2 linked regions of the Lepisosteus oculatus genome follow. The protein of the gene in region 1 purifies or fractionates together with the protein of each later gene. This does not show direct contact. Links are inferred from orthologs where the notes say so. Each region holds a gene or a part of one and is shown on either strand. Other genes may lie near its edges.

Region 1 (15,065 bases):
CAGTCCTGGTCCTGGAATAGTCAGTCAGTGTGTGTGTCCAGTCCTGGTCCTGGAGGGGTCAGTCAGTGTGTGTGTCCAGTCCTGGTCCTGGAGGGGTCAGTCAGTGTGTGTGTCCAGTCCTGGTCCTGGAGGGGTCAGTCAGTGTGTGTGTCCAGTCCTGGTCCTGGAGGGGTCAGTCAGTGTGTGTGTCCAGTCCTGGTCCTGGGGGGGTCAGTCAGTGTGTGTCCAGTCCTGGTCCTGGGGGGGTCAGTCAGTGTGTGTGTCCAGTCCTGGTCCTGGAATAGTCAGTCAGTGTGTGTGTCCAGTCCTGGTCCTGGAGGGGTCAGTGTGTGTGTCTGCAGTCATGACACTGTGACCTCTGACCCCAAACACTGGAACACTGGCACCCCCCCGGCACTGAGCCCCCCAGAAGACAGACAGACCGTGACCTCAGAAACGACAACTAAAGAAGTAACAAAAATAATCCTCCTCCTCCCCCTCCGGTCAGTCTGTGCTCAGCGCTCCCGCGGGTGGGCCGCGGTACCCCCCCCCCTCACTCGTACTCGGCGATCAGGACCATCATGCCCACCCCGAACAGCAGCGCCAGCACCTCCAGCAGGGACTGGGCCGGGCCGGCCTGGCCCAGCAGCAGCTCGGGCAGCACGGTCACCGTGGCGATGTACACGAAGCCCCCCGCGGTGAAGGGCAGGACCCAGGCGGTCGCCGTGGCGCCCGCGCCCTCGGCCAGCAGCGAGCAGGCGGTCCCCGCCAGCGCCCCCAGGGCGGTCAGCAGCTGCAGCAGCATGGCCTGGACACAGGGGGAGAGGGCACGGCGGTCAGCGGAGGGGAGACAGAGAGACAGAGTGGACAGCGGACAGTACCTTCCTCTTGGTGCAGCCCGACTGGACCAGGATGGCAAGAGAGAGACGGGGGACAGGGGACAGGGGACAGTACCTTCCTCTTGGTGCAGCCCGACTGGACCAGGATGGCGAGAGAGAGAGTGGACAGTGGACAGTGGACAGGGGGACAGCGGACAGTACCTTCCTCTTGGTGCAGCCCGACTGGACCAGGATGGCGAGAGAGAGAGTGGACAGTGGACAGGGGGACAGCGGACAGTACCTTCCTCTTGGTGCAGCCCGACTGGACCAGGATGGCGAGAGAGAGACAGGGGACAGCGGACAGGGGGACAGTGGACAGGGGGACAGTGGACAGTACCTTCCTCTTGGTGCAGCCCGACTGGACCAGGATGGCGAGAGAGAGAGTGGACAGTGGACAGGGGGACAGCGGACAGTACCTTCCTCTTGGTGCAGCCCGACTGGACCAGGATGGCGAGAGAGAGACGGTGGACAGTGGACAGGGGGACAGCGGACAGTACCTTCCTCTTGGTGCAGCCCGACTGGACCAGGATGGCGAGAGAGACAGTGGACAGCGGACAGTGGACAGTGGACAGGGGGACAGTGGACAGTACCTTCCTCTTGGTGCAGCCCGACTGGGCCAGGATGGCGAGAGAGAGAGTGGACAGGGGGACAGTGGACAGTGGACAGTGGACAGGGGGACAGTGGACAGGGGGACAGTGGACAGTACCTTCCTCTTGGTGCAGCCCGACTGGACCAGGATGGCGAGAGAGAGAGTGGACAGCGGACAGTACCTTCCTCTTGGTGCAGCCCGACTGGACGAGGATGGCGAGAGAGAGAGTGGACAGTGGACAGGGGGACAGTACCTTCCTCTTGGTGCAGCCCGACTGGACGAGGATGGCGAGAGAGAGAGTGGACAGTGGACAGGGGGACAGTACCTTCCTCTTGGTGCAGCCCGACTGGACCAGGATGGCGAGAGAGAGAGTGGACAGTGGACAGGGGGACAGTGGACAGGGGGACAGTGGACAGTACCTTCCTCTTGGTGCAGCCCGACTGGACCAGGATGGCGAAGTCTCCGATCTCGTGTGGGACCTCGTGCAGCAGGATGGTCACCGTGGTGACAACCCCCACCGCGGGGCTGATCAGGAAGGACGCCCCGATGGCCAGCCCGTCCGTGAAGTTGTGGGTGAAGTCGGCCGCCAGGTTCAGGTACCCCGAAACCTTGATATCTGTACAGGCAGAGAGACAGGCTCAGACGCCCCGAAACCTTGATATCTGTACAGGCAGAGAGACAGGCTCAGACGCCCCGAAACCTTGACATCTGTACAGGGAGAGAGACAGGCTCAGACGCCCCGAAACCTTGACATCTGTACAGGGAGAGAGACAGGCTCAGACGCCCCGAAACCTTGACGTCTGTACAGGCAGAGAGACAGGCTCAGACACCCCGAAACCTTGACGTCTGTACAGGGAGAGAGACAGGCTCAGACGCCCCGAAACCTTGACGTCTGTACAGGCAGAGAGACAGGCTCAGACGCCCCTAAACCTTGATATCTGTACAGGGAGAGAGACAGGCTCAGACACCCCGAAACCTTGACATCTGTACAGGGAGAGAGACAGGCTCAGACACCCCGAAACCTTGATATCTGTACAGGGAGAGAGACAGGCTCAGACACCCCAAAACCTTGACATCTGTACAGGGAGAGAGACAGGCTCAGACACCCCGAAACCTTGACATCTGTACAGGCAGAGAGACAGGCTCAGACACCCCGAAACCTTGACATCTGTACAGGGAGAGAGACAGGCTCAGACACCCCTAAACCTTGATATCTGTACAGGGAGAGAGACAGGCTCAGACACCCCGAAACCTTGACATCTGTACAGGGAGAGAGACAGGCTCAGACACCCCGAAACCTTGACATCTGTACAGGGAGAGAGACAGGCTCAGACACCCCGAAACCTTGACATCTGTACAGGCAGAGAGACAGGCTCAGACACCCCGAAACCTTGACATCTGTACAGGCAGAGAGACGGGCTCAGACACCCCGAAACCCCATTATCTGTACAGAGAGACAGAAGCCCATGAACACACCGCGAGACCAGCTTCCACAGACTGTCCCTCAAGTACCTGTCTGTCTCTCCACCTCCTGCTCCTTCCTCTGCTCCTGGGCCTGGCTGTCGGTCTTCCTCTGCCTCACCCCCTCCTGCTCAACCCTCCCCCCCTTCTCCTCCGGCTTCTCCGGCTTCTCCGGCTTCTCCGGGGCTCCTGGGGGGAGAGAGGGACAGTGAGAGAGAGGGACCGGGAGAGAGAGAGAGGGGGAGAGGGGACAGTGAGAGAGAGGGGACAGGAGAGAGAGGGGGACCGGGACAGGAGAGAGAGGGGGAGAGGGGACAGTGAGAGAGAGAGAGGGGGAGAGGGGACAGTGAGAGAGAGGGACCGGGAGAGGGGACAGTGAGAGAGAGGGACCGGGAGAGAGAGAGAGAGGGACCGGGAGAGAGGACAGTGAGAGAGAGGGGACAGGAGAGAGAGGGGGAGAGGGGACAGTGAGAGAGAGGGGACAGGAGAGAGAGGGGGACCGGGAGAGAGAGGGACCGGGAGAGAGAGAGGGGACCGGGAGAGAGAGAGGGGACCGGGAGAGAGAGAGGGGACCGGGAGAGAGAGAGGGGACCGGGAGAGAGAGAGGGACTGGGAGAGAGGACAGTGAGAGAGAGGGACCGGGAGAGAGAGAGGGACTGGGAGAGAGGACAGTGAGAGAGAGGGACCGGGAGAGAGAGAGAGGGACCGGGAGAGAGAGGGACCGGGAGAGAGGACAGTGAGAGAGAGGGACCGGGAGAGAGAGAGGGACCGGGAGAGAGAGAGGGACCGGGAGAGAGAGGGGACAGTGACCTGTACCTACCGTGGGTGTGAGAGTGGGAGTGGGAGTGGGCGTGGGCGTGCCCCCCCTTCAGCAGGCGCACAAACTTCTCCACCACCAGGAAGGCCACGATGCCGGCCAGCACCCACAGCCCCACCGACATCATGTGGCCGTGAGCGCCACCTGCAGGGGGAGGGAGGGGACAGCGCCGCCTGAGACACTGCTGATCCCCCAGTCTGCACCCGCTTCCAGGAAACACCCCCCCCCGCCCGCCCGTCAATCATACCCGAGTGGGAGTGTCCATGGTCACCTGACTCCTCCTGGCCCTGGGAGTGGCTGTGTCCCTCCTCACCGTGGTGCGAGTGAGGCTCTGAAAGAGAGGAGTCCAGACCCTCACACAGAGCCCTGAGACACTCCTCACGCAGAGAGAGGAGTCCAGACCCTCACACAGACCCCAGAGACACTCCTCACACAGAGAGAGGAGTCCAGACCCTCACACAGACCCCAGAGACACTCCTCACACAGAGAGAGGAGTCCAGACCCTCACACAGACCCCAGAGACACTCCTCACACAGAGAGAGGAGTCCAGACCCTCACACAGACCCCAGAGACACTCCTCACACAGAGAGAGGAGTCCAGACCCTCACACAGACCCCAGAGGCACTCCTCACACAGAGAGAGGAGTCCAGACCCTCACACAGACCCCAGAGACACTCCTCACACAGAGAGAGGAGTCCAGACCCTCACACAGACCCCAGAGACACTCCTCACACAGAGAGAGGAGTCCAGACCCTCACACAGACCCCAGAGACACTCCTCACACAGAGAGAGGAGTCCAGACCCTCACACAGACCCCAGAGACACTCCTCACACAGAGAGAGGAGTCCAGACCCTCACACAGACCCCAGAGACACTCCTCACACACAGAGAGAGGAGTCCAGACCCTCACACAGACCCCAGAGACACTCCTCACACAGAGAGAGGAGTCCAGACCCTCACACAGACCCCAGAGATACTCCTCACACAGAGAGAGGAGTCCAGACCCTCACACAGACCCCAGAGACAATCCTCACACAGAGAGAGGAGTCCAGACCCTCACACAGACCCCAGAGACACTCCTCACACAGAGAGAGGAGTCCAGACCCTCACACAGACCCCAGAGACACTCCTCACACAGAGAGAGGAGTCCAGACCCTCACACAGACCCGGAGGCTCACCCAGCGCGTGTGGGATCAGGTGCAGGAAGGCGTCCCCCAGCAGCCCCCCGGACGCGAAGCTCAGCAGGACCTTCAGCAGGCTCTGGTGCTGGTCGGTGTTGGACTGGACCGGTATCAGGAAGAGGATGAGGAAGGGAGCCGCGCTGATCAGCAGGGTGGCGCCCACAGCCTGGCCAGGTCAGAAGGGGACAGGCCGGGTCAGAACCGGACAGGGCGGGCCGGGTTGGCGCCTCTCAGCCGACCAGAGCTCGGCGGTGTCGGTCTCGCGCTCTCTCTCTCTCCGTACCTGAGTCCACAGCTCCAGCGTGCTCCTGCCGTCTCCTGCTCCTCTCTCCCGTCTCGCACTCCCGTCGGCGAGCGCGTCCCCGTGCGCGTGGGGCTCAGAGTGAGCGTGCGCGTGCGAATCCCCGTGCGAGTGGGCGTGCGAATCCCCGTGCGAGTGGGCGTGCGAATCCCCGTGCGAGTGGGCGTGCGAATCCCCGTGCGAGTGGGCGTGCGAATCCCCGTGCGAGGGCAGGTTGGCCTCGGCGCTCCACTTGCTGGCGCCGTGGTGCATCTTCCCCCCCCCGTGCGAGTGGCCGTGGCAGCCGCCGCCCCCGTGCGAGTGGGAGTGGGAGTGGGAGAGCGCGGGCTGGAGGAGGGCGCCGGCGGCGAACAGCGCCGCCCAGAGGACAGACAGGCGCACTGCGCCTCTCCCTGCCATTGTCATCCTTCACACCTGGGGGGAGAGAGAGAGAGAGAGACAGGACTGGACCTGTAATTAACGCTAACTAACCACCCCAGCCTGCTCGCACCCTGGGCCTGCGGGTCACAGAGCTCTTTGCACACAGGAGGGGACCTGCACCAGTAACCCCACCTGGGAGACGCTCAGATACCATTGTGCACCAGTAACCCCACCTGGGAGACGCACAGCGATCAGTCTGCACCAGTAACCCCACCTGGGAGACGCACAGCGATCAGTCTGCACCAGTAACCCCACCTGGGAGACACACAGATACCATTGAGCACCAGTAACCCCACCTGGGAAACGCACAGATACCTTTGTGCACCAGTAACCCCACGTGGGAGATGCACCAGTAACCCCACCTGGGAGAGGCACAGAGACCATTGTGCACCAGTAACCCCACCTGGGAGACACACTGCGATCATTGTGCACCAGTAACCCCACCTGGGAGAGACACTGCAATCATTGTGCACCAGTAACCCCACCTGGGAGACACACTGCGATCATTGTGCACCAGTAACCCCACCTGGGAGACATACAGCGATCAGTCTCCACCAGTAACCCCACCTGGGAGACGCACAGCGATCACTGTGCACCAGTAACCCCACCTGGGAGACGCACAGCGATCAGTCTGCACCAGTAACCCCACCTGGGAGACGCACAGCAATCACTGTACACCAGTAACCCCACCTGGGAGACACCCCTCGACCCCTGCACCCCTGTAAGATCACAAGCACACCAGCACCATCCCAAGTCCTACTGATAGCAACACCTCTGATGGACCTGCGCTGGCCAGCGGGTGTCCCCCGGCCCGGGGCCCTGCCGGACTCTCCACACGGATAAACCCGCTCCGAGCCGGGGAGAGGCGCCCGCGCCGCAGGAACATGAACTCCTGGGTGTCTGCATCCACGCACACGCACAGACAGACACAGAGACAAACTCTCGCATCAGCACGGGTGCGTGTGTGTGTCTGTGTGTGATAAATGAGCGCACCTCCCCGGCGAGGGTCACCCTGAGCCCGGACGTGTGTGTGTCTGCGACAGCTCGCTCACCGGTCCGGAGAAGCAGGCCGCCCCTGTGCGTGTAGCCGGGTTTCTGATGCGCGGTACTCCGGCTCGCCGTGTCTGTCTCTCTCTCTGTCTCGGCACAGACGTGGCACAGCAGCCAACACAGACTCTCGCGAGATTTCCCTCCCCCCCCCTTGACAGCCGGGCAAAGGCGGCGGAGATCTCGCGAGACGCCCCTGGCCCGGATGCCGGATGCCGGATGCCGGATGCGGGGGGCGGAGACAAAGGGGGGCGGGACACGGGGCTGTCGGCAGCGGCTGGCTGGCTGGTGGGGGAGGAGGGAGCGGTACGTCAAGGCTCCGGTTCCGGGCTGGCGCGGCGACCGCCGGCGCTTTGGTTCCGGGCGCGTTTGTGGGTCCAGGCCAGCTGAGCTGAGCTGAGCTGAGCTGGACACCGCCAACGGGCTGCCTCAGAGCGACAGCATGAGGTGAAAATCAGGGCACGGACGGAGCAGTGTAGTCGATAAGTGACGTAATTACCCCTAATCCCCCACCTGTAACTGACTGGACTGGGAGCTGGACTAGTTCTTCACTGGGATTATAATCAGACTCCACTGACACTGACAGAGCAGTCTGAGACTCTCCAGGCTGGACTGGGAGCTGGATTAGTTCTTTACTGGGATTATAATCAGACTCCACTGACACTCTGAGACTGAGACTCTCCAGGCTGGACTGGGAGCTGGATTAGTCTTTCACTGGGATTAATCTGGATTCCTTGAATAAGACTGAGACATCAGCTATGAATAGAATAACATTTATTACAAATATACAGATAATATTGACAAATCACCTCCATCATATTTAATACTTTGCTCGTGCACATGTGTGTGTGAGGAGTGTGTGTGTGTGAGGAGTGTTTGTGTCTGTGTGAGGAGTGTGTGTGTGTGTGTGTGTGTGTGTGTGTGTGAGAGAGAGTGTGTGTGTGTGTGTGTGTGTGAGAGAGAGAGGTGTGTGTGTTTGTGTGTGAGAGAGAGAGGAGTGTTTGTGTGTGTGTGAGAGGAGTGTGTGTGTGTGTGAGGAGTGTGTGTGTGTGTGAGAGAGAGGAGTGTTTGTGTGTGAGAGAGAGGAGTGTTTGTGTGTGAGAGAGAGGAGTGTTTGTGTGTGTGAGGAGTGTTTGTGTGTGTGTGAGAGGAGAGTTTGTGTGTGTGTGAGAGGAGTGTTTGTGTGTGTGAGGAGTGTTTGTGTGTGTGTGTGTATGTATGAGAGGAGTGTTTGTGTGTGAGAGGAGTGTTTGTGTGTGTGTGTGTGTGTGTGAGAGAGAGGTGTGTGTGTGTGTGTGTGTGAGAGAGAGAGGTGTGTGTGTTTGTGTGTGAGAGAGAGAGGAGTGTTTGTGTGTGTGTGAGAGGAGTGTGTGTGTGTGTGAGGAGTGTGTGTGTGTGTGAGAGAGAGGAGTGTTTGTGTGTGAGAGAGAGGAGTGTTTGTGTGTGAGAGAGAGGAGTGTTTGTGTGTGTGAGGAGTGTTTGTGTGTGTGTGAGAGGAGAGTTTGTGTGTGTGTGAGAGGAGTGTTTGTGTGTGTGAGGAGTGTTTGTGTGTGTGTGTGTATGTATGAGAGGAGTGTTTGTGTGTGAGAGGAGTGTTTGTGTGTGTGTGTGTGTGTGTGTGTGAGAGGCTCCACAGTCTGATCCTCCTGGTCGAGTGTGACCAGAGACCGAACGCTGAGATTCTGGGGGCGCGGGACGAGACCATCTGCCCCGTGCCCGCAGGAACATCGCCCCAGGGGTGTGAGGGGACGCCCCAAAAGCCCCGCGAGCAGAGGGGGGGGGGTTAGTTAAGACAGACGATGAAGTCCTTAAGATACGAGTCAATGAAGATAAGAGCCAGGCTGACCCCCGACCCCCGACCCCCGACCCCGAAGAGACCCGAAGGGTTAAAACTATTTCGATTGACAACAAACAAACAAGCACAGGAAATAAGAGAAGGCCCCCCAGCACCCCGGCCCCCCGCATCGAGGGGGAGGGGGATTCTGGGACAGGCCGGGGGGGGGGGCGGTACCGAGACCGAGTTCCGGTTCTGGAGCGGCGCGGACGCAGAGCCCACACGCACAAGCGCGTCACCGCGCGCGGCGGGCGTGTTAATACAAGAGGGGTCAGGGGTCGAGACACGCCAGGGGAGGGGGGGGCGCCCCCCCGCAGGACGACACCTCGCCCGCCCCCCCGGCCCCCCCGGCCCCCCGCCCTCAGATGCTCAGCAGCCAGAAGAAGAAGAAGATGGCGACGAAGAGGAACAGGGAGTCCTGCCAGCTGTTGCCGTTGCCGGGGTTACCGTTGTCCGGGTAACCGCCGCCTGGGTGGGGAGTATCTGGGGGCGAGGAAGAGAACCCCCAAATCAGAACAGATTCCAGCTGGAGAGTCGCTATATAACCTCATGATACTGAGAGCACAACACACACACACTCCTGTACAGACACACACACTCCTGTAGAGACACACACACACACTCCTGTACAGACACACACACTCCTGTAGAGACACACACACACACTCCTGTACAGACTCTTACTGGACACACTGTAGAGACACACACACTCCTGTAGACTCTTATTGGACACACTGTATAGACACACACACACTCCTGTAGACTCTTACTGGACACACTGTATAGACACACACACTCCTGTACAGACTCTTACTGGACACACTGTATAGACACACACACACACTCCTGTACAGACTCTTATTGGACACACTGTATAGACACACACACACACTCCTGTACAGACTCTTATTGGACACACTGTATAGACACACACACACTCCTGTAGACTCTTACTGGACACACTGTATAGACACACACACTCCTGTACAGACTCTTACTGGACACACTGTATAGACACACACACACACTCCTGTACAGACTCTTATTGGACACACTGTATAGACACACACACACTCCTGTAGACTCTTACTGGACACACTGTATAGACACACACACACTCCTGTAGAGACACACTGTACCTGCGCGGTGAAACGGGTCATTGGTGTTGAAGACTGTAGTGAAGAAACCAAAGGGAAACGCACCAATACCGAAGGACATGTGGAACCCAGTGTCACCGAAACCCTGGAAGGGCTGAGAGAGAGAGAGGGGTTCATACACTCCAGTACATGAACACTGCACTGAGAGAGAGAGGGGTTCATACAGACACACTGACTGGACACTCCAGTACATGAACACTGCACTGAGAGAGAGAGAGGGGTTCATACAGACACACTGACTGGACACTCCAGTACATGAACACTGCACTGAGAGAGAGAGGGGTTCATACAGACACACTGACTGGACACTCCAGTACATGAACACTGCACTGAGAGAGAGAGGGGTTCATACAGACACACTGACTGGACACTCCAGTACATGAACACTGCACTGAGAGAGAGAGGGGTTCATACACACACACTGACTGGACACTCCAGTACATGAACACTGCACTGAGAGAGAGAGGGGTTCATACACACACCCTGACTGGACACTCCAGTACATGAACACTGCACTGAGAGAGAGAGGGGTTCATACAGACACACTGACTGGACACTCCAGTACATGAACACTGCACTGAGAGAGAGAGGGGTTCATACAGACACCCTGACTCAGTGACTCACCCCTCTGCTCTCCGGCTCTGGTCTCTGTCCCTGAGGTCGAGGAGGAGTTTTCAATCTATAAAAACACCAAGAAAGAGTTAATTCATGAAGCTGAGCAAAGATACCAACAACTGGAAAACAGGAAACCTCCTGAGTCTTTCAGAAGACCGGGTTTCGCAGTGCTCTGTGGTCCGACTGTTACCACTAGACAACGGGTCAGATGTAAAACCTGGAAAGGAAGGGACTGCTGTGCAGCTGGAGTCTATGAGCACTAAAAACCTGCCCCACTTCACTCAGACAGACACTGGCGCACAGTGGACACACAACGGACAGGACAGGACAGTACCGTGGGTCATCCTGACTTGAGCTCCCTCTTCCATACAGAGGAATAACGTTCTCCCGGCTGATCCCGGCCTTACACACTGGACACTGCTGTCTGCTGGGGCGGGTCTCCAACCACTGAGAGAGAGAGGGGTTAATACACTCCAGGACATGAACACTGACCTGAGAGAGAGAGAGACTGACTGGACACTCCAGGACATGAACACTGACCTGAGAGAGAGGGGTTCACACACACACACTGACTGGACACTCCAGGACATGAACACTGCACTGAGAGAGAGAGGGGTTCATACAGACACACTGACTGGACACTCCAGTACATGAACACTGTACTGGGAGAGAGACAAACTGACTGAAAGTTACATTAAACATACACCAAGGAAGAAATTAAAAAAACACTTACTTGGTGTAGACATGGCCAGCTGTTTCATGAAAGAAAGCAAAGAGATTTGCATTTAATTTCAGAAAGGTTACAAACAAGAAGTCACTATGCACATTAGACCCGTTTGGTGGGTCAGTAGCTAATTGATCAGAGGAATTCATCCAGCTGTTCCACTCCCCCACCCCCCTCTGTGTACAGAAGAGCCTCCTGTCCTGACTGGAGGAGCTCACCCAGCTGTGTCTGGAGAGAAGCCAGGGTATCGGCTTCAACCACAGGGCTGGGCAGCCTGTTCCCCACCCCCACCCCCCTCTGTGTACAGAAGAGCCTCCTGTCCTGACTGGAGGAGCTCACCCAGCTGTGTCTGGAGAGAAGCCAGGGTATCGGCTTCAACCACAGGGCTTGGCAGCCTGTTCCCCACCCCCACCCCCCTCTGTGTACACACACACACAGACAGTGTCGCTGCCTCTGAGCCCCGACCCCAGCTCGCACCAGAACAGATGTCCGCACAGGCTGATCACCGCGTCCCTGGCCGTGTCCAGGCAGATGTTACACTCGAAGGTGGCCCGGTCGCGCTCCGTGTCCCGGCCCAGCCCGCCTCCCGTCCCGCCCCGGTCGCCGTCCTCGGCCGGACCGCTGTCCGCCGTGCGCCTGGGCTCCGCCGCCATGTTTGTTTACCTGCCTGGCTCGCTCGCTCGCTCGCTCGCCTCCGGTCTCTTCCGGTTTCCGCCGGTGACACGCCGGGCCCGTAATTCACCGAGTAGAGGCGCCTCCCGGCTTGGCGTCGAGCATGAATGGGTCGCGATTCTTTCAGAAATGCGTTTATCCTGCGCTCTGTTTTTATCATATTCAGGTTCCCCACACTTGTGCTGTGCTTTAACCCTGCTCTCACTGGGCTGTACTGCGCTGTACTGTGTTTTTACCCTGCTCTCACTGGGCTGTACTGCGCTGTACTGTTTTTACCCTGCTCTCACTGGACTGTACTGCACTGTACTGTGTTTTTACCCCGTTCTTACTGTGCTTTACTGCACTGTACTGTGTTTTTACCCTGAGCTCACTGGGCTGTACTGCGCTGTACTGTGTTTTTACCCTGATCTCACTGGGCTGTACTGCGCTGTACTGTGTTTTTACCCTGCTCTCACTGGGCTGTACTGCACTGTACTGTGTTTTTACCCTGCTCTCACTGGACTGTACTGCACTGTACTGTGTTTTTACCCCGTTCTAACTGTGCTTTACTGCACTGTACTGTGTTTTTACCCTGATCTCACTGGGCTGTATTGCACTGTACTGTGTTTTTACCGTGATCTCACTGGGCTGTACTGCACTATACTGTGTTTTTACCCTGTTCTTACTGTGCTTTACTGCACTGTACTGTGTTTTTACCCTGTTCTTACTGGGCTTTACTGCGCTGTACTGTGCTTTTAACCCTGATCTCGCTGGGCTTTACTGCACTGTACTGTGTTTTTACCCTGATCCTACTGGGCTGTACTGCGCTGTACTGTGTTTTTTTGCCGTGAGAGAAGGAGAAACGTTGTCAGGTTTGTCAGAAACAAAAGACCCCAGTTCATCAAAGTGTATCAAACTCCTACACGTGATTGGAGCTATCTGTCTATTTAAATTAAATCCATATTCATGAATAATGTGTCTGTATCATGAATTTAATTAAACAGACGTTCATCCCGACATTTGTGTGCAACTTTTCTTCTATACAGGACGAGACGACACTGCTCTAGCGTGTATGAAGTGACTCGGTTTTCCAGCGTCTTTGGAAAGAAGTGTTAAGTAGACGGAGCTAAGACGATCTTTCTTTGCGCTGAAATGTGGAAACGAGGTTTTAACAGTGTACGGTAGCCCACCAGCGAGCATCCTTCCCTCCGACATCGGATCTGGATGTTCATTGGACAATCCTGCCGCCACTCAAACCTGAGCCCCTTTCGCTGGGACATGATTGGACGAGCTGCCGGAGAACCGCCTCTCTTTCTAAAGGCGATTGGGTAGACGTCACGCCACTCAATTCGGCCTCGCCGCCTCAAACGGGGGGCAGGTGGGCGGGGCGCCGGGGTGGGGGAGGGGCGGTATCGCCCGACCTGCCCCGGCGATTGGACGCCGCGGATGTCCGTCACTCTGCAGCTCTGCCGCTGGACAGCTGGGTAAGTAATGGCGAGAACGGAGGCCGCGAGCACGGTCGCTTCGCCCCGACAGGCCCAGGTGACAAAACTACATTTCCCAGCAGGCTTTTGGCCTCTCCCCCCTCTCGGGTCCGTCGCTTTGGCCAGGTGCTGGAGCCTATCCCAGCGGGCAACGGGCGCAAGGCAGGACAACACCCTGGACGGGACACAAGTCCGTCACTGAACACACACACACACACACCAGGGTCATTTCTTCAGAGAAGCGACCGGACCGCGGGAGCAATCCCACGCGAGCGCGGGGAGAACATGCAGGCTCCACACAGACAGCGCCCCCGGGGGTTGGACCCGGGACCAGCGCGCCGGTGTGCGCCGCCGAGGTCCCGCTCCACCCGTCCAGAATCCCCCGGGCCTGGGCCGGGCTGGGCTGGGCCGGACTCGCTCTGGTCGGACCCTGTTTCCAGCTCCGCGCCCGATTATACGTGCCTATTTCCTCGCTCGATACGTCGGTGTCCATCGCTGTCCGGCACACGCGTGTCCTGCGAGTCAGATTCACCCCCCCCCCCGACCAGGCGTCCGTGCGACCCCCCCGGGAGACGCGCATTCAAAGAGTCCACACGTACACGTCTCCGCTCTGTTCCCGTCCCGCTGACTCCCGCTGACTCAGCGGGACGGGAACAGAGCGGAGACGTGTACGTGTGGACTCCCGCTCGGCAACAGCTGAAGAAACAGAAATGTTCTCTTGTGGCGCCCTTCCTGCACGAGGTCCCTTTTTGTGGGAGGAATTTGAAGCGGCCGGGATGTAGGGCGGATTCCCACTGGATGAGCGAGGAAGACACTCGCAGACACGCTGGCCTGGAGACGACCCCTACACGTGTGTGTGAGACTGTGTGTGTGTGAGAGAATGTGTGAGAGAGAGTGAGAGTGTGAAAGAGAGTGTGTGTTTGTGTGAGAGTGTGAGATTGTGTGTGGGTGTGAGAGTGTGTGTGAGAGAATGAGAGTGTGTAAGTGTGTTTGTGTGAGAGTGTGAGGTTGTGTGTGGGTGTGCGAGTGTGTAAGTGTGTTTGTGTGAGAGTGTGAGGTTGTGTGTGGGTGTGAGAGTGTGTGTGGGAGTGTGTAAGTGTGTTTGTGTGAGAGTGTGAGGTTGTGTGTGGGTGTGAGTGTGTGTGTGAGAGTGTGTGTGAAAGTGTGAGGTTGTGTGTGGGTGTGAGAGTGTGTGTGAGAGTGTGAGATTGTGTGTGGGTGTGAGAGTGTGTGTGAGAGTGTGAGAGTGTGTAAGTGTGTTTGTGTGAGAGTGTGAGGTTGTGTGTGGGTGTGAGAGTGTGTGTGAGAGTGTTTGTGTGAGAGTGTGAGGTTGTGTGTGGGTGTGAGTGTGTGTGTGAGAGTGTGTGTGAAAGTGTGAGGTTGTGTGTGGGTGTGAGAGTGTGTGTGAGAGAATGAGAGTGTGTAAGTGTGTTTGTGTGAGAGTGTGAGGTTGTGTGTGGGTGTGAGAGTGTGTGTGAGAGAATGAGAGTGTGTAAGTGTGTTTGTGTGAGAGTGTGTGAGTGTGTGTGTCTATATACTGTATCTATGAACAGCGGCGGTTGTTTTCAGTAACAGGGTGTCTGACCACCGGGCTGATTCTGAACAAGCTGCTCAGTGCGACCCGATAGCCTTGTAACAACAACAACAACAACAACAACAATAATAATAATAATAATAATAACAACGACGACGACGATGACGATGATGATGATGATGATGATGATGTTTATTAATTGTATGGGGGTTATTATACATTTGATATTTTCTCTCCCTCCCTCCTTCTCTCTCTCTCTCCACCAATTCCGTTGGGTTTGTTTTTCCGAAATGTGACAAAAAGGCCGGTTGTGCGCATTTCGGACCCGGCCGGTCTCAGTCACAACCGGCACCTTCCGGCCCGGTCCGGCCATGTCCGGTCCGGTCCCGTCCC
Region 2 (15,756 bases), on another chromosome or scaffold:
CACTCTTGTTTACATTTAATGCAATCAGCTAAGTCTTGCCCAGTCTTCTATTTAGTTTAAATATTTTTCAGTATCTTTTGCAGTTTCTGTAGCATTTGCATATCCTCCTAGTCTGGTGTTATCTTAAAATATGACTGCTTTTCTCCCTATACCAAAGTCTTTTTTGACATAAATTAGGAAAAGCAGAGGTGCTAATACGTGTCCGTCTGGTAAACTCTTAAATATACACCTCGTACACCTTGATTTACCACTTATCTGCACCCTTTGTTTCCTGTCAAATAACCAATTCCTAATCCAAGTACAGTACACGCATTCCCTCGAATATCTGCAGCCTTGGGAATTAATTTTTCATGAGGAACTTCATCAAAAGCCTTTTAGAAATCTAAATGTACCGTGTCATTTCTCTCTTGCATTACAGCTGTTTCTTGAGAACTCTGACAGGTTATTGTTTCCATATCCTTGCATGTAATATAAGAAAAGATTTATTGGTCTATAATTACTTGGTTCACTCTTTGTAAGGTCAGGCGCTATATTAGCAATTTTCCAGTCAGTGGGTATTACTCCTGTCTTGAGAGACTGTTGGAAGACTTATGATAATGGCATATGAATACCATCTCATGTTTCCTTAAGTACAACAGGAATAATACCATCAGGCCCTGGAGATTTATCTCAAGTGCTTCTAGTATCTGTAATTTGTCTGCCACTTCTATGCTAATATTATTTAATATAGGACCTTGTGTTTAGTTAGACTGGTAAGTTCTGTGTTCCCTCTTTGAAAAACACCTATACACGTAATCTGAAAGTTTCTTATTTTTTCTCTGAGATGCTTTATTTAATTTTTTTACTGTTCCTTTACTGTTATAATACTAAAAATTATTATTTGATGTAGATGTCCTAGCTTTTTTCTATTTTCTTCTTCTTGGTCTCTAATGCCCCTCTTAGCCTGTAGTTGCAATTAATTATACTCCTTACATTTAACCGGATCCCATTCTTCATTAAATGCTGTCGTTTACTGTATAAAGTATACTGCTTTTTTCCCTTATATTTTTCTTAATTTATTTATTTAACCATTTGAGCCAGTGCTTTCCTGACTTTGATGTCCATGTGGGATGAATCTTGTTTTGTATTTCAAGAAAAATGTTTTTTAAGACTTTGAAATCCATTTTTTGCTGATTCCAAAACTATTTGGAAAACTGTTTGGAGATTGGGAGGAGAGGCGGGAAAAGTCAAGAAAGCCCAAAAGCTAGACCTGGTATTGAAGTGAACTTCTTTGAATGGTTTCAGACTCACAGTGTTTATTAACATAGCCCCACAATTTTCTCTGTACTGATTCTGTATGAATAATATTGTTCAGACATTGGGAAACTATACCCTGTACACCTGTACAGGCTGATACCACACTGGACCAGCCTCCAGGCTGAAAATTCCAGCTACAATCCCAGCCTCCATGCTGAAGATAAACTGTGCTGCTACCACATCAGCTACCCTAACACAATGCAGGCTGTTTATTTTTTCAAATACAGCTACTTAGCTGCAGATCTCAGCCACATGGCTGATTCCCAAGCCTGCAGGACGAAGACCAGCTGTGATGCCACTGCTCTAGCCTCTCTATCATAGTACAAGCTGTTGATACAAAAATAGATCTACCAAGCTGAAGGCTCTATTTTTGTATCAGCTGCCTCATAAGCCTCTGGACTGAAATGACTATGCAGGCTGCTGGCTCAGCGACAGATCCACATGGCTTAAGACTACAGTCTCTTGGCTACCTACAGGCATCAGACTGAAGACATGTGCCTATGATGCTGGCTAAGCCAGGACAGGACATTGACTACTCCTGTTGCTGTGTCAAATACAAGCCAGATTGCACACTGTTCTAGCAATAAAGAACAGTTTGACTTAAGGACTGGTGTGTGGGGTGCGTCTTTGTAGAACTTTTGCCCCATGTGGGAGCTTCCCCATGTGGCATCACAATATATTGTAAAATTTAAAAACAAATGGTAAAAACAATTACAGTTTTTGCTGCAAGTAAAAGAAAGATAAGTAAATCACAGTTTATATATTTGAATATATTATTATCCTATAATTTCGGATGTAGCACTTTCATGAAACCTCCCAGGTGCAACTACCAAATCTGGGTACTTTAATTCATTTCAATTTGCTCCTGCCAATGACTGGAACAATCTGCAGAATTAAACATAAAATATCTTCTGTCATGTCTAAGGGTATTCTGTGCTTAGATCCTGTTATGGTGTTTACTTTTTATTGATTGTTCTTTTCTTTCTACTCTGCTTTGCCTTTTGTGCAACAATGTTGTAAGACTCAGTCTGGTTCCCATTGTAAATGAAAAATTGTTCTCAAGTGACTTGGCTGTTTAAATAAAAGACTATTATTATCAAGCCAGATTTGCAGGCTGCAGGAAATTTTGCAGAACTAAAAAGGACAGATCCCTCTTTATAAGTTCTTTTTGGCAGAGCAGCAAGGAGCTGTAAGCCAGTGTCTGTAAAGACCTAAACAGTATAGTAGATAAAGTAGAAAACTATTTATTGTACAGTGGGTGCTAAAGAGATGATACTATGACTAGGGTGTACCGCACCAGTCAGGGATATGGGATGTGCAAAAACCTTACCAAAGATAGTGTTATACAGTCCCTGGATGTGACTGATCACTGCAAAACTGTCAATTGACAACTGAAATATGACTTTCTGGCAGGTCTCCATTACAACACTATCTGTCATAGACATTCAGTTCCAGTGAGTTACTATGGATATACAGTACAGTAGCAGAACCTGTAGAGTGAAGCAGCGGAGGCAAACACTTTATTATTGTTTTCAGTGACTGTGTAACCAGATTTCCAGAAGCCTTTACTTTGCACAGTGTCAAAGCCTAATGCATGCTCTTGGTTTATTTATCTCAAGGGCAAACATACAAATAGAAATGATCACAGACCACATGTACAAGTTACATTTAGTTCGCTGAAACATGTTTAGCATATTTTGGGTATTTACCATATGTACTTTTCACCATGCCATAACATCCATTATGGCTGATGGGCTGGGGGAGCATTTCAATCAGACGCCAAGAACATGTGTGGATATTTTATTATCGGCAGAGACTTTCAGTTGCCATATCTGTGTTTCAAAGTGTCTCAAACCTCTACAGGATTCACTCGTGTTGAGTTACATTATCCCACCAGGGTGGGAAAGCCAAGAGAAGCCTTTTGACGTCTTCTTCCAATTTGCTTCTTATATTTTTTTTCATATCTTTAGATGTAAGCAAGGGTGACTTGTCCATAATTCACTGATTCTGTTTTCTCTACTTTTTTATGACTGGATAAAATAATTACAATTTTCTAATCAGGACACACAATTAACTGCAATAGAAGTCAATTGATTTATCTTACCAAGAGGGCTATACTGTAAATAAGGTGTGTTATTCCTTCAGGTCAATAAAAACCATCTGGTTTTATTTGTTTGTTTGAACCTTTCTTCAACCTGCAGCACTTTATTAATTTACTCCTTTTTGAACACCTGAGTAAATGAATCATTGAAATCCTTTACGTTTTCTATGCTTGTCTTTTATATTAAAACCATTTGTATCTCTATGACACCACTTCTTTCCTTTTCAGTCTTTTGCTGTTGTAATAATGTAAAAAGCTCTTGGACTTAGTTTTGCCTCAAAATCTGTAATCTTGTGTAGTAGTCCACTTTTCTGCATCTTGGTCCCTATAAAACATTTTTCTTGTTTTACAGTATATTTTTCTTTCGTAATCTATTGAACCATTTACACCAACAGTTCTGGGCCATGATTTGTCATATCACCCTACAACTCACAATGGGCTACCTACTGAACTTAAGCAGGTGTGAGCCTGGTCAGCACCTGGAGGGGAGACCTCCTGGGAAAAACTAAGGTTGCTGCTGGAAGAGATGTTAGTGAGGCCAGCAGGGGGTGCTGTGGTCTATGTTGGTCCCTAATGCCCCAGTAGAGTGATGTGATTAATTATATTAATTTTATCGATGGCTCTACAACTGAATTTTAAACCTTTAGCTGTGTATACCTTTCTGATTCCCTATACAGTATATTCTCAAATCCCTCTGTTTCTCTAGTATCATAAACCTTTCCTTAAATTGCCTTTGTTGAACGTTGAAACATACTTTGAAAATGATCATGTTGTGTTTATTCCAATGCTTCTCTTACTTTTACCTTTTTTACTCTATTTTGGTTATTTGAAAAGATCAGATCAATGCAGGCTCTAATCATTCACCATAGCAACATAATTTGTGCCCCAGTTGATTTATCCCTCACTAACCTATGGTATGCTAAAGTCTGTCTTATGGTTGACATAAAGAAATACATCTACAGTATGTGTTCCTAGCACCCCACTCTCACAAAGCAACAGGTATATCATGTTTAAAGCCTATCCTCCCTTAGTACACTTTTGTGAATGACAACATGTAACGGTATATTCATGCATCTCATTAAAGTCTAAGTACTGCAGAGTCCTTATCAGTTTCATTCTCATGGGTTGTACAGATGTGACAAGTTAAGAATATTATAAAACACATGTAGAATTTTCTAAATATGGAATTGTAATTTGTAAATATATTGTAACGCTTACGGCCGACAGGTACTGTGTAAGAGCCGGCTTACCAGAGCAGGTGACGTCACCGCCCTTCCCAGTAACAGCAGGACCACAGCCCCTGGGCTGTAGAGAGATCTCTCTTTGGCTCACTGGGCTGGTTCCCTGTTGAGTGACGCGGGAGTCCAGGGTTTGCTAATGCGGCAAGGGTGCCCGCCTGAACTCCCGTTGCGTTACAATATGTAATTTCACAGGCAAAAACATACTGTACAATGATTATATCACAAAAAATCTTTCTTTGTGATAATGTGATAATAGTTTGAGGAAGCCAACTAAAATGTATTTTGCCTCGCACATAAGTATCCAAAAAACATAACTAAAGCGTCTTCTTTGTTGGCAAATAGAATCTCTTTAGGCTTCATCTCCATCTAAACAAACGTGTTCTACTTTTGTGAAAATGGTGAGCCATGTCTTCATGTCTTCAGTAAATTCATAATATTTAAGTATGTAATAGATCTGCAATATTTATTTAAAGGCATTTGCTTGATGGTGAACCAGAATTATAACCATAGAAAGCATTTTAAATGCAGGATGCCCTTGTACTACTGCCACATGTGTGTTAGGTTGATAGTAACTTCAACAGGTGATAATCCCACAGTATATTTACAGTATATCTGATATGATGTCAAATGCATGGTGTCCTCTAAAGTCTCTCACTTGCTGGAATGTGCAGTTTGTATAAACAGATAAAACCATTCCATTAAAATTGGAATAGAGAAATATTATATGTACTTTTAATTTATATTAATCCAATTGGTAATGTTAATAGTATCAGATATCAATATTATTTGTGCCCCATCCTGTTTACTGTATATGAAGTAAACTTCATTTTCAAGAATAAAAAATCCAACAAATATTTTCAAGAATAAAAAATCCAGCAGAAACCAATCCAATTAAATATTCTACAGAACTCAGTACTGACAGTTTATATCTTTAGGATATTTTAGGCAAATTAACGCTGTTCCAAAAGGCAAGACGCCTTGGTTGCATAGAAACCTACTGTACTACTATAGTGCTACTGTAGCAATTGTTATTACTTTATTGCCTGAATTTTTAATGAAAAAAACTGTTTTCCACATAAACTGGGATATAGTGTTCAGATGCACGAGACTTGGCTAGTAAGACTTGGCTGCTACTAGTTAGGTTCGCAGGATCATTGTTTTAGATCCAACCACCACAGTTAAATGTATGACTATATTTCTTAACCAGGTTAATTCATAATTATAAATATCACTGTGATGCTGATCTATAATAAAACCAGCAGGCAGCAGTACTATACACAGAGCCACTGTACCTCCCAGTTGAAAACTTGAACACATAAATTTGCCATGAGGTAAATATGTCAGGTTCATCCGTTCAGTTTTACAGAGGGTTATATTTGCCTAACAGGGGGATTGGGGATACTGCATTTTCTGTAGCACTGCTGTCTCACAGCCGTGGGAACAAGAGATCACTTTCTGGCTAAGCGGCTCTATCTGTGTAAGGTCTGCCTGTTGTCCTCATGTCTGCATTGGTTTCCTGCCACATGCCAGAAGCATTCTGATTAGGGTAATTGGCCACACTAATTGGACAGCGTGATGTCATGTGTCGGACAGGGCAAAATTAACATAATCAAATCCCTTAGTAGGGAGGCATGATGGTTTGCAATGCTGCCTTGCAGTGTTAGAGCCCTGACAATATAGTTAAAAAATAGTACTTTGTTTTATAAAGAAAATAATTCATTGAAAAATAAACGATTCACTTACTTTTGGTGAGGATAAAAAAATAACCCCTAGATCAGGAAAGCTGGACTACACTAAAAAATATCTCAAAATATCCTGTTAACATAGTAGAAAACAAATAATTTACTTGTATCAAAAACACATTTGTTTTTCTCAAAGTTAGAAAAGTAATGCCTTGTTATTTTTCTTCCTCGAAGCAATTCCAGACTTGCCTTCTTGACAATATAAAAATGTAAACAACCTCAGAGTACCAAGTCTTTCTCTTATTTGTATATGTTTACGTCTCCTTCCCTAAATTAGAAAAATAAACTACAGGAGCTTGTTAAGCCTGTTTTATCTTCCTGCTTCTCCTTTCTCTTTCAGTTTCTCCCATGGAGTGATAAGTCTCTTACTTAACTCTTTACATTTTCCTTTGCCCTTCTTTTTATTGTGTTTCCTGTGCTTCACTATAGTTTAGATAATACAAAGTCCTTTCTTCCAACACACTCTCTTTATGTCATTTTCCAAATTGCATACTCACTGAAATCCATCAAATGTAAATTGTGTACAGTGGTGCATAATGAACCACTCTCTCGCTGTCATCCCTGTCATCATCATAGTCCTGTAATGTGTGCACACCTGTATAAATAGCTTGTTCCCCTTCTGATACCCTTGTGGCATTCTTTGTCACAACATGTCTGTTCTGGCATCTCAATGTGGTCAAAAGTCTCAGTGAAATCTATGACACTCTACCCAAAGTACCTCCCATTCAATACAGTGCCCCTAGTGGTATCACTGGTGCTGTCTGTGTGGAGTTTGTTTGTTCTTCTATTGTTCATGTGTTTCCTCCAGGTGCTCCAGTTTCTTCCCACAGTCCAAAGAGATACTGGTAGGTTAACTGGCTTCTGGGAAAATTAACCCTGATGTGAGTACAGTATGTGCGTGTTTGTTTCCTGCGTTTGTACCCTATGATGGATTTGTATCTCATTCAGGGTCTATCCCGCCTCGCACTCATTGCGTGGCTCTGGCTTCCATCGTGACGTGACCCTGTACTAGATAACGCGGCTTAGAAAACGGATGGATAGAAATCCCTTAGTATGATAAAGAGTACTAATTTCACCCCGTGGCAAAATAAAAATATGCTTATGCAATATGGAAATACAGGGACAGAAAGCAGCCTTATTGTTGTCCGCTCAATTACAGTTGCACCTCATACAGTACATACACACATACACAACATAGTTGTACCTGAACCTGAATATTTAGTCTTTTGACTTTTCTCTGTATCGTGGTGGCATCAAATACAACCATAAATGACAGTTCTTTTCCTTTCACAAAATTCAAAATGCCGTTGTGCAAAATGTGTGGCAGGACAATTTTGTGGTCATACTGTACATAGCTCTTGACTTTCCCCTGGATGTCAGAGGAGGCTATACAATATTTGACCAACCCGGCTCCTGCGGCCTGGATGAAATTAAGCAACAGGCCACATAGGTTTCCCACCACAGCATAAAGGAACAGACAGACAAGATGCTCTGTTTTATATGTTGGATCCTAGGTTTTAAACTTTAGATAGTGGACAAGTGAGGTTTTGATAGTATACAGATGAGAGCACAAGACTTTATTTAATACAAAAGATGCATTGTTTTTTTTTTGCTTCCTAAAAAAAGTAAAGAAGTGAATCTTTGTGTATAACTACAAATGCTTATCCTATAAACAATTTTTTTCAGGTATCCATTTTAACTGCCTTCAAAAAGGCACCAGACGTGGGGACCTTTAGCAGACCTTTCCAGGCAGAACTATGTGAGACAACCAGAATCAGTGAAGCAAACAATGAGAAAGAAGAAAGAAAAACATAGTTAAACAGATGGACAAGAAGTCTTAGCCTCAACAGTTGTATTGATTTTTTTTCAGTATCATTTAATTAGAAAGAGAAGCATTATTTCGCTAAATTGCTCTGGGTCAATGTAATACATTAGAAACTCATTTCATGAGGCACTGTGATGTTGTTTTTTATATTCTGGCATATTTCCATCTGCCTCTAGATTATTGTTATTCGTTGTTTAATTCCTTGATTGATTGGGAAAATTACACATTTAGATAATAGCAGGCTCCTGTTTTTCCTGACCTTCACCAGGAGATTCTGATGACGGGTAGGCAGATAAAACTTTTCTTAACTTTACACATATATTCACGTATTGCATTCTGTTTTTTAAACTTGATTTTGTGTTCTTTCTTTGGCTGTTTTACTATTAATCACGCTAACTGCCTACTACTGGAAAATAAGGTGGCACATACAGATGCCACATGCAGTACACATCTCACATCTTTAACATTTCTTGTTGTTGAAGCATTGTAGACTAAATTATGTGCAGTACTTTTAGAATATCTATTTAAAGATATTTTAATAATAAAGAATGTTTACAGTACTTCAATTGTCATTGTCAAAGACTAATCATTTTAGGTCAAAGACCAAAAAAAAAACATTTGCAGGATATTTTTCTTTCGTTTGTACAGTATGCTTGGGTCTTGTGACTTTGTGAGAGCTCTACCTAATTGCATTACTAAACAGACGTTGCTGCTTAATTTAAAAAGACTCATTGCAATGCTTCTGTGACCAAACACGTTTTACAGGTACATCCGGGTGTCTTCTCCTCAGTTTCTGAAGCCCATCAATAGCAGCTCCCGCAGGCACGCAGGGAAGATGATGTCACACTGCGTAGCGACGGTAGGAAGTCAACGCATAAACAATATGAGGGAAATAAGAGGGAGTTGATTCTGCTCTGTGTGTTATAACAATACGTCAGTGCTGACAGAAAAAAAAAAAGAAAATTATTTTAGGACATGGGTCCTGAAAAGACACGGGTCTTTAGGGCTAGTTTGTTTGTATGCATCTTACTGCCTGTACTTTTGCCTCCTGTTGCCACAGTTGGCCCGTACAAAGCTCCGTCTACAAAGATCCAGGTGGGCATCAGCCAAAACACCGGCAATGCCAGCAGCGGTAATACCAAAATGAATACGCACACAGGCTCCGTTGGAGTCAGGGAAGGCAAAAACAACAGTACGGGCGACTTCCAGAGCACCAGCCGGACTGTGGCAGCGGAGCTGGCCGCGAATGACAGCAGACCGATGTCCATTCAGAGGGCACTGTATGTGCTTGTGGCTGTCAGCGCTCTTGTCATCGTTTATTTCGTCATCAGGACTGTCAAGTAAGGACTGCATCATAGTTTTCCGATTGCCTAAGCTACTTTTCTGTTTTCTTAGATGCTTTTGTAATGCGACATCCTCTTTAAAAGCGGCGACAGAGTTGCGATGAGGTTTTTGCTTTTGTTTTGTTTTCACAAATCCTTCGCAGTTTTATATCGCTGTTGTCTTTTGCAACATCGTAACATTTTGGATTTAATTATTTTTGTTTGGTACTGGTTCAGAACACTCATCTGAACATGGGTTGGTTGAACCAGTTACGGGCATTTTGTGGACACGGTTTTTTTCTTCTTCTTCATTAAATTAGGGGCTTTGAGAGTAAAATTTAAAACCGAACGATCTGAAACATATATTTTTCAGTAATGAGGCTGGTGCCGATTTATACCTTATTATACTAAACTTACAAACAAAACTGCAGTTTGAACTTTAAAGAACTGCCTAAAGAGGAAAAAATATCTGTAACCTGTGTTGTGTGACTCCTGTCCTCTTAGAAACTATTGCCTTGATCTGGATTGAATTAATGGAAAGGTTTCAGGCGAGAAAAAGACTAATCAGTGTTGATTCATTTATCTGAAATAAATTGAAATTGATCTGCTTGCCCACAAAAATAAGCATTTTTATTTATATTTATCTGCTTTAAGCTATGTATTATTCCTCTGTTGTATTTAGGACTGTGTCCTAACCACAGTAACAGTATTCATAAAACAGCGTTCAACTGCAAGACAGACTTGTGAAACACAGAAATGCAAATACATTCAATACCCTTTATAATGCTGTATTAATCAACATGTAACAATACATCTCCCATACATTTTGAAATGTATTGACTACCCCTATGTGCTAAGGAATTTCACATTATAAGTTCTGGCCATCTTTTAGTATCCAGTTAAAGTAATGCTACAGTACAAGTACAAATAAAAGATATCTTGTATATACTGTACATACTGTACTGTATGCAAAATTAGGTGCATCTTCTATTGTCTGTAACATTATGTATGATTAAGTCAAGTGTGGTTTCAAAGTGGTAGACTAAACTACAATGCCATTTAAATCAAGTTGAAATCACATATTTATTTTTCCACATGGTCACTTTTAATACATTTTTACTGCTTTTTAATTCACTAAATAGGGAAGACAAAAGAAGTTCTAAGATGACTTTCCAAAAAGTGAAAATGATATACAGTGCCAAGAAAAGCTTTATGAACTCTCTAGGTTGGTCCATATTTTTGTATATTTTACAACTGCAAAGTAATTAAATCCTCATGTCCTCTTGGAAGTCTCAATAAATTATAAAGCAAACTTCGTTAAACATGGAATGCAAAGATATATTTGTATTATTTAATTAAAATAACCCATTGTGGGAATACATTAGGTTAATTAAGATTAGATTCATGTCAATAAATTAGATTCAGTTTCTGGCAGCACCTCCTGAGCAGCGATGACTTCAGTTAGACATTTTCTGTAAATGTTTATCAGTCTCTTACTGCTTCAAGTCCCTGATATTTCAGGGTTTCCTTGCGTGAACAGCTCGCTTCAGGTCATGGTACAACGTTTAAATGGCCAATTCGAATGCAAAATTTCTTCTTTAGCCATTCTGTTGGAGACCTGCTTGTATGTTTAGGATTGTTGTCTTGTTGTATGACCTCTTTTCAGATCAGCTTCAGGTGATGAATGGATGGCCGGGCATTCTCCCCCAGAATTTGCCAATACAGTGCTGAATTAATGGTTTCATCAAAGATGAGGGACATCAATTGTGTTGCAAGGAAGCATTTGGTTTTCACAACACAAAACATTTCTAATTGTAGTAAAAAAATTCAATTTTTGATATGACGGTCCAGACAACATTCTTATAGCAGTATTGTGGATCAACCAGGTGCACTTCAGCAAACTTGACATGGCTGACATGTTATTGTAGAGAGCAATGCTTTTTTCCCCATGACATCCATATCCTTCCAGTTTTATTTCTGATGGTTTAGGCAGACAGACACTTACAGATCCTTAGATGTTTCTCTGGGGTTCTTTGTGAATTCCTCGATGATTTACAGGATTGTTGTTGGCAGGACAACCTGCCAGGTCCTGGGATAGAGTCACTGTGGTTTCAGATATTTTCCATTTCCCGAATGGATTAATGGAGCCCCAGAAGTTTAGAAATGTTTTAATGAATTCTCTCCAGATTGATGAGCATTAACCGCTCTTTTCCTGAAGTCCTCTGAAATTTATTTTTGATTGTGTCGTGATGCGTTTCCTTTATCCTGTATGGTGTAAACCACACTCTCAAAGTTTCTGATTATTTTTAGACATTTTAAGACAGGAGTGCCCAAACTCGCTTCTTTTATTTATTCATACCAATGCTATTTACTTGTGCTCAGTAAACTAGGGTTCACTTATTATTTCACATACACTGATTAAGTTTTCATTTTTTTCTGCTTCATGTATTTTTGCATCTAAAAAAATATCGGATTGGTAAAATCTTTTTAGGTTATTTAAAATCCATTTCAATGGTAAAATGGTAAGAAATTGTAATTCTCCATTGGTTTTACACAAACCAATTCATGGCACAATATTACAATTCATTCAATTGATTGTAGGACATCAGTTTGCACAATAAAAAATGAACTCCCAAAACACAGACACCTCTACTTAGGAAGCAAATAGGAAAGTCTTTAAATTTAATTTTCATTACGTGAAAACTGTCCCAACTGATTAATGTACTCTGGAGTGGGCACTTTGCCCACAGTTTGCCCAAAGGAAAAATTAAACCTATTTTGATATTAATGACTAGAACTTGAGGCTTTATTTTTTCTGTTATTCTTTTCTTTTTGTTTTATCCCTAAGCCTTTTTTATTTTGTCAGAAAAATGTATTAGTGTTAGAAGAATGAAAAATGTTAGTACTATAATTTCTACAGATGTACACTTTAACAGGGTTTTGATACCTCCGTATTGTACTTGAAATTCATATTGAAATTTGCTACTGGTTACTTTTATGAACATGCTAAAGTAGATTTCTCGGCTGAGGTCTTATACAGTATGTGCTCTTCAAATACTGCTACTGTGGCAGGTTAAGATAATTTTGCTCTCTTGCCTTGCAGTCAGAAGACTTTTTTTTAAAGGATTAGTAGCACATTTTGGAATTCTGTCAAGCAATACGTTCTGTAAGCGTGTTCCACTGCTAGGATGTGGCATGTAAGTGTGGAGCACTGTGAACATATTGTAAAAATGAAGCCATGAGGTTATCATAGTTAACATCAAAACCACCATGTGTTTGAAGTTTGCGTGTATTTTGTACTGAAGATCTTTTCTTCTTAATTCAGAATGAAAAAGAACCGTAAAACAAGGAGGTATGGAGTCTTGGACACAAATCTTGCCATGGAAATGACACCATTGGAGCAGGACGAGGATGAAGACGATGATACCACATTGTTTGATGCTCGTATTTCAAGGAGGTAAGCATGATTAGGATCGGTCTGTGTCTTACTGATTACACCTTGTAAGGTCATTGAAATACCTTTCTAACAGCCTTTGTATGATATAGTCTCATAATTTTGAAAAATGTATTTCTAAAAAAAGAAATATAACTTTTAATAAAGCATCCTGTATTCATGGAAGTTTTTTTTGTTAAGCTGTTTAGTGCTTCTTGTAACTCAAGACTGATTTTTGTGATGCTGCTAACTCAGTATAATTGTGTACCTTTTTATAAGTAATGGCTGATTTATAACATATTAAGAAGAGCGAAGTCTGGAGTATTGGCTATGATTCCTACCAAGTTAGAATAATGCTTTGAGTAAAGAGTCTACTGTGACTCATTATGATTTTACTAAATATGATATGCCCCTATGGTTATATTTCAGAGCACACTTGCTAAGCACTGTACATTAAGAGAAACAACTGTGCTTTCTTTTGTTCTAGAGCTGTAAAATGATACTTGGTATGTAAATCAGGGCTGTCCAAACCTGCTCCTGGAGGGCTGGCGTTTCCATGATTTTTATTTCAAATCAGCTTTTAATGAGCTAAACCAGATGGTTTCTGGCTTAACTGAACTCATTTAACAGCATCTCCAAGCTATTCAGATCCTGCAACTTTCGAGTGACCTTGAAAATCTGCAGACACTTTGGCCCCCCCAAGACAAGAACTGGACACCTCTGGTGTAAATACTTCATCTTCCAGTTATGAAAGAGGCTCTTGTCAGTCACACATTGAATGCAGTGCCTATAAGTGGGTTTTTTTTGTTTGTTTTCATAAAAACTCTCACAATGCGCTTCTAAGACTGTGACAGTGTGTGTCTGTGGAAATTGATTTCTGTTTATTTAGTTGATGTTTACAGAAAGGGAAGTCTGGCTGTAGGTATGTCCTAGCAAGTAGCAAGAGTATGATTTTCCTACCCTAAATCCTGTAAGTACTAAAAGGGACTGACCCAGTCCAATGGCAGTAGCCAAGTGTATGTGATAGGTAGGAATATACAGTATAGTATACTGGCCAGTTCTATAGCTGTATCTGTCCCTGGCCAGACTACACACTGAAGTGATCTTTCATACAATACACACATGATATTATTTTGATCATTTTTTGTTAAACTGCTTTAATTTCTACAGGGACATTATTTAAAAATGTAAGAATTATTATAAAACCAAATGGCACCAAGGGGAGTATCAAACCTCTAATAATGTCAATCAAAATTTGATTCATATATCTTAATTTGATTTTTGATTTTTGATATATGATTGATTCATATACAGTATACATATTGATTCATCGAAATATAAGCTACTGAGCCTCCCTTCCAGGGGAGAGTGATGTTCCCTGTTTGTCTGGTGTCCCTGGTTGGATAGGCTCTGGCTTTGTAGGAACCCTAACTAAAATGATTTAAATGAATGCATTTTGCTTTGCGCTGTTATGAAAATGAGGCCCTAAATATGCATACAATGTTATACAGAAATACCCAAACTTAGCAATGTTACTGATTTCAGCAATGTAGGATCATATGTAATATAACTTATATAACTTAAACATAATTTTTTTTTTAAATTTAAATGACACTACTCACCACCTGTGACTCTTAAATACATTCGTATATCTTCATGACCAGGGCTCCCCTTTCTTCCTTTTTTGAGGTTTTATTTGTGCAACAGGTGACCAGATTATTCTTAATTGTTACATCTACTGTACTTTATCCATATGGGATTACATCTTTTTAGTGCCTTTTAACTAATAGTAGAACCTTGTTCTTGTTCCCTTTTTTTATGTAGTAAATGTTTTAGTCTGAGATGTCTTTACACTGTCCAATTGTTAGCCTTTAAAACCAAGGTGCGGGCAACATGAGTTTCAGAATGTCAAATGTATTGTATTGTAAAAATACAATTTGATAAAAATTGAACAAGCTGTGACCTCATTACAAGAAATACACCCTATATAACACCTGCAATGTAATTGTCAGTAGCTCAGGATGAACAGGATGCATCCTAGCCTTTGTCACAATTGTATGGGTCATGAAATTTGTGGAAACCCAGGAAAAATCAAATGTGTTTTTCAGACCTGAAGGTCAGAATATTTTCACAGATTCAAGTTCTGGCCATGTAAAGTCAGGGAACCTTAAATGTAGGCAGGCATACTACGTAATGGTCAAACAGTAAGGTTCTTGCAGACTATTAATTCACACTTCTCAAAAAGAGGTTTCTATCTGTAAATCTGTTATTTCCCAGTCACAGAATATTTCGACTTTGAATAAGGTCAGTCTATCAAGCTTCATTGGTTTTCAGTTTATTGCTGCTGTTAACAGTCACCTGTTAACAATGCATGTCATTGGTTGATTAGTAAAACTGAAATGTGACAGTGAAGTTGAACGTTTTTAATTTATATCAGTACTACCTGTATATTGTATGCTATTATATTTAAAACTTAAACCTACAAAAAATGCTGGCTAAATAACCTTTGACGTTGCAGCAAATAGATCAAATTGATCAGATAAGATCACAAATTGTGTGTTGATTGAAAAAATAGGGCATTTTTTTGCAGTGGCAAGGGAACATTACAACTGAGCTGCTGTTTGAACTTCAAACATTGATCCGGTTTAAAAAGGTGGAATAAAGAAATAAAGCACAAATACAGTATGATCAAGTTTCTGAGTGACAAAGAACTGGTGATGATAACCAAACTCTTCTGGTGCTTGAAACTTCATTGTTCTTTTCAGTTCTACAAATTGCCAGAGTCTATGGGCAACT

The links.
Region 2: the proteins of slc39a7 (region 1) and membrane protein FAM174 purify together in Homo sapiens (co-immunoprecipitation; 3 studies listed by BioGRID and IntAct, with this or other methods). This does not show direct contact. The link is inferred for Lepisosteus oculatus from reciprocal best matches to the Homo sapiens genes SLC39A7 and FAM174A.

Annotation. Positions count from the first base shown.
Region 1 is NC_090709.1:39,102,083-39,117,147, forward strand, and holds the start of slc39a7 (zinc transporter Slc39a7), read right to left. Parts: upstream 6,798-15,065; 5' UTR 6,620-6,797; intron 5,621-6,619; 5' UTR 5,612-5,620; coding exon 5,189-5,611; intron 5,072-5,188; coding exon 4,903-5,071; intron 4,056-4,902; coding exon 3,972-4,055; intron 3,869-3,971; coding exon 3,728-3,868; intron 3,097-3,727; coding exon 2,959-3,096; intron 2,063-2,958; coding exon 1,866-2,062; intron 788-1,865; coding exon 533-787; 3' UTR 1-532. Other genes in the region: E3 ubiquitin-protein ligase RNF5, read right to left, coding at 8,869-8,990, 9,647-9,758, 10,289-10,343, 10,614-10,726, 11,013-11,031, 11,481-11,656. UniProt on the Homo sapiens protein: Transports Zn(2+) from the endoplasmic reticulum (ER)/Golgi apparatus to the cytosol, playing an essential role in the regulation of cytosolic zinc levels.
Region 2 is NC_090698.1:55,259,880-55,275,635, forward strand, and holds the start of membrane protein FAM174, read left to right. Parts: upstream 1-8,852; 5' UTR 8,853-9,180; coding exon 9,181-9,545; intron 9,546-12,852; coding exon 12,853-12,984; intron 12,985-13,447; coding exon 13,448-13,460; 3' UTR 13,461-15,756.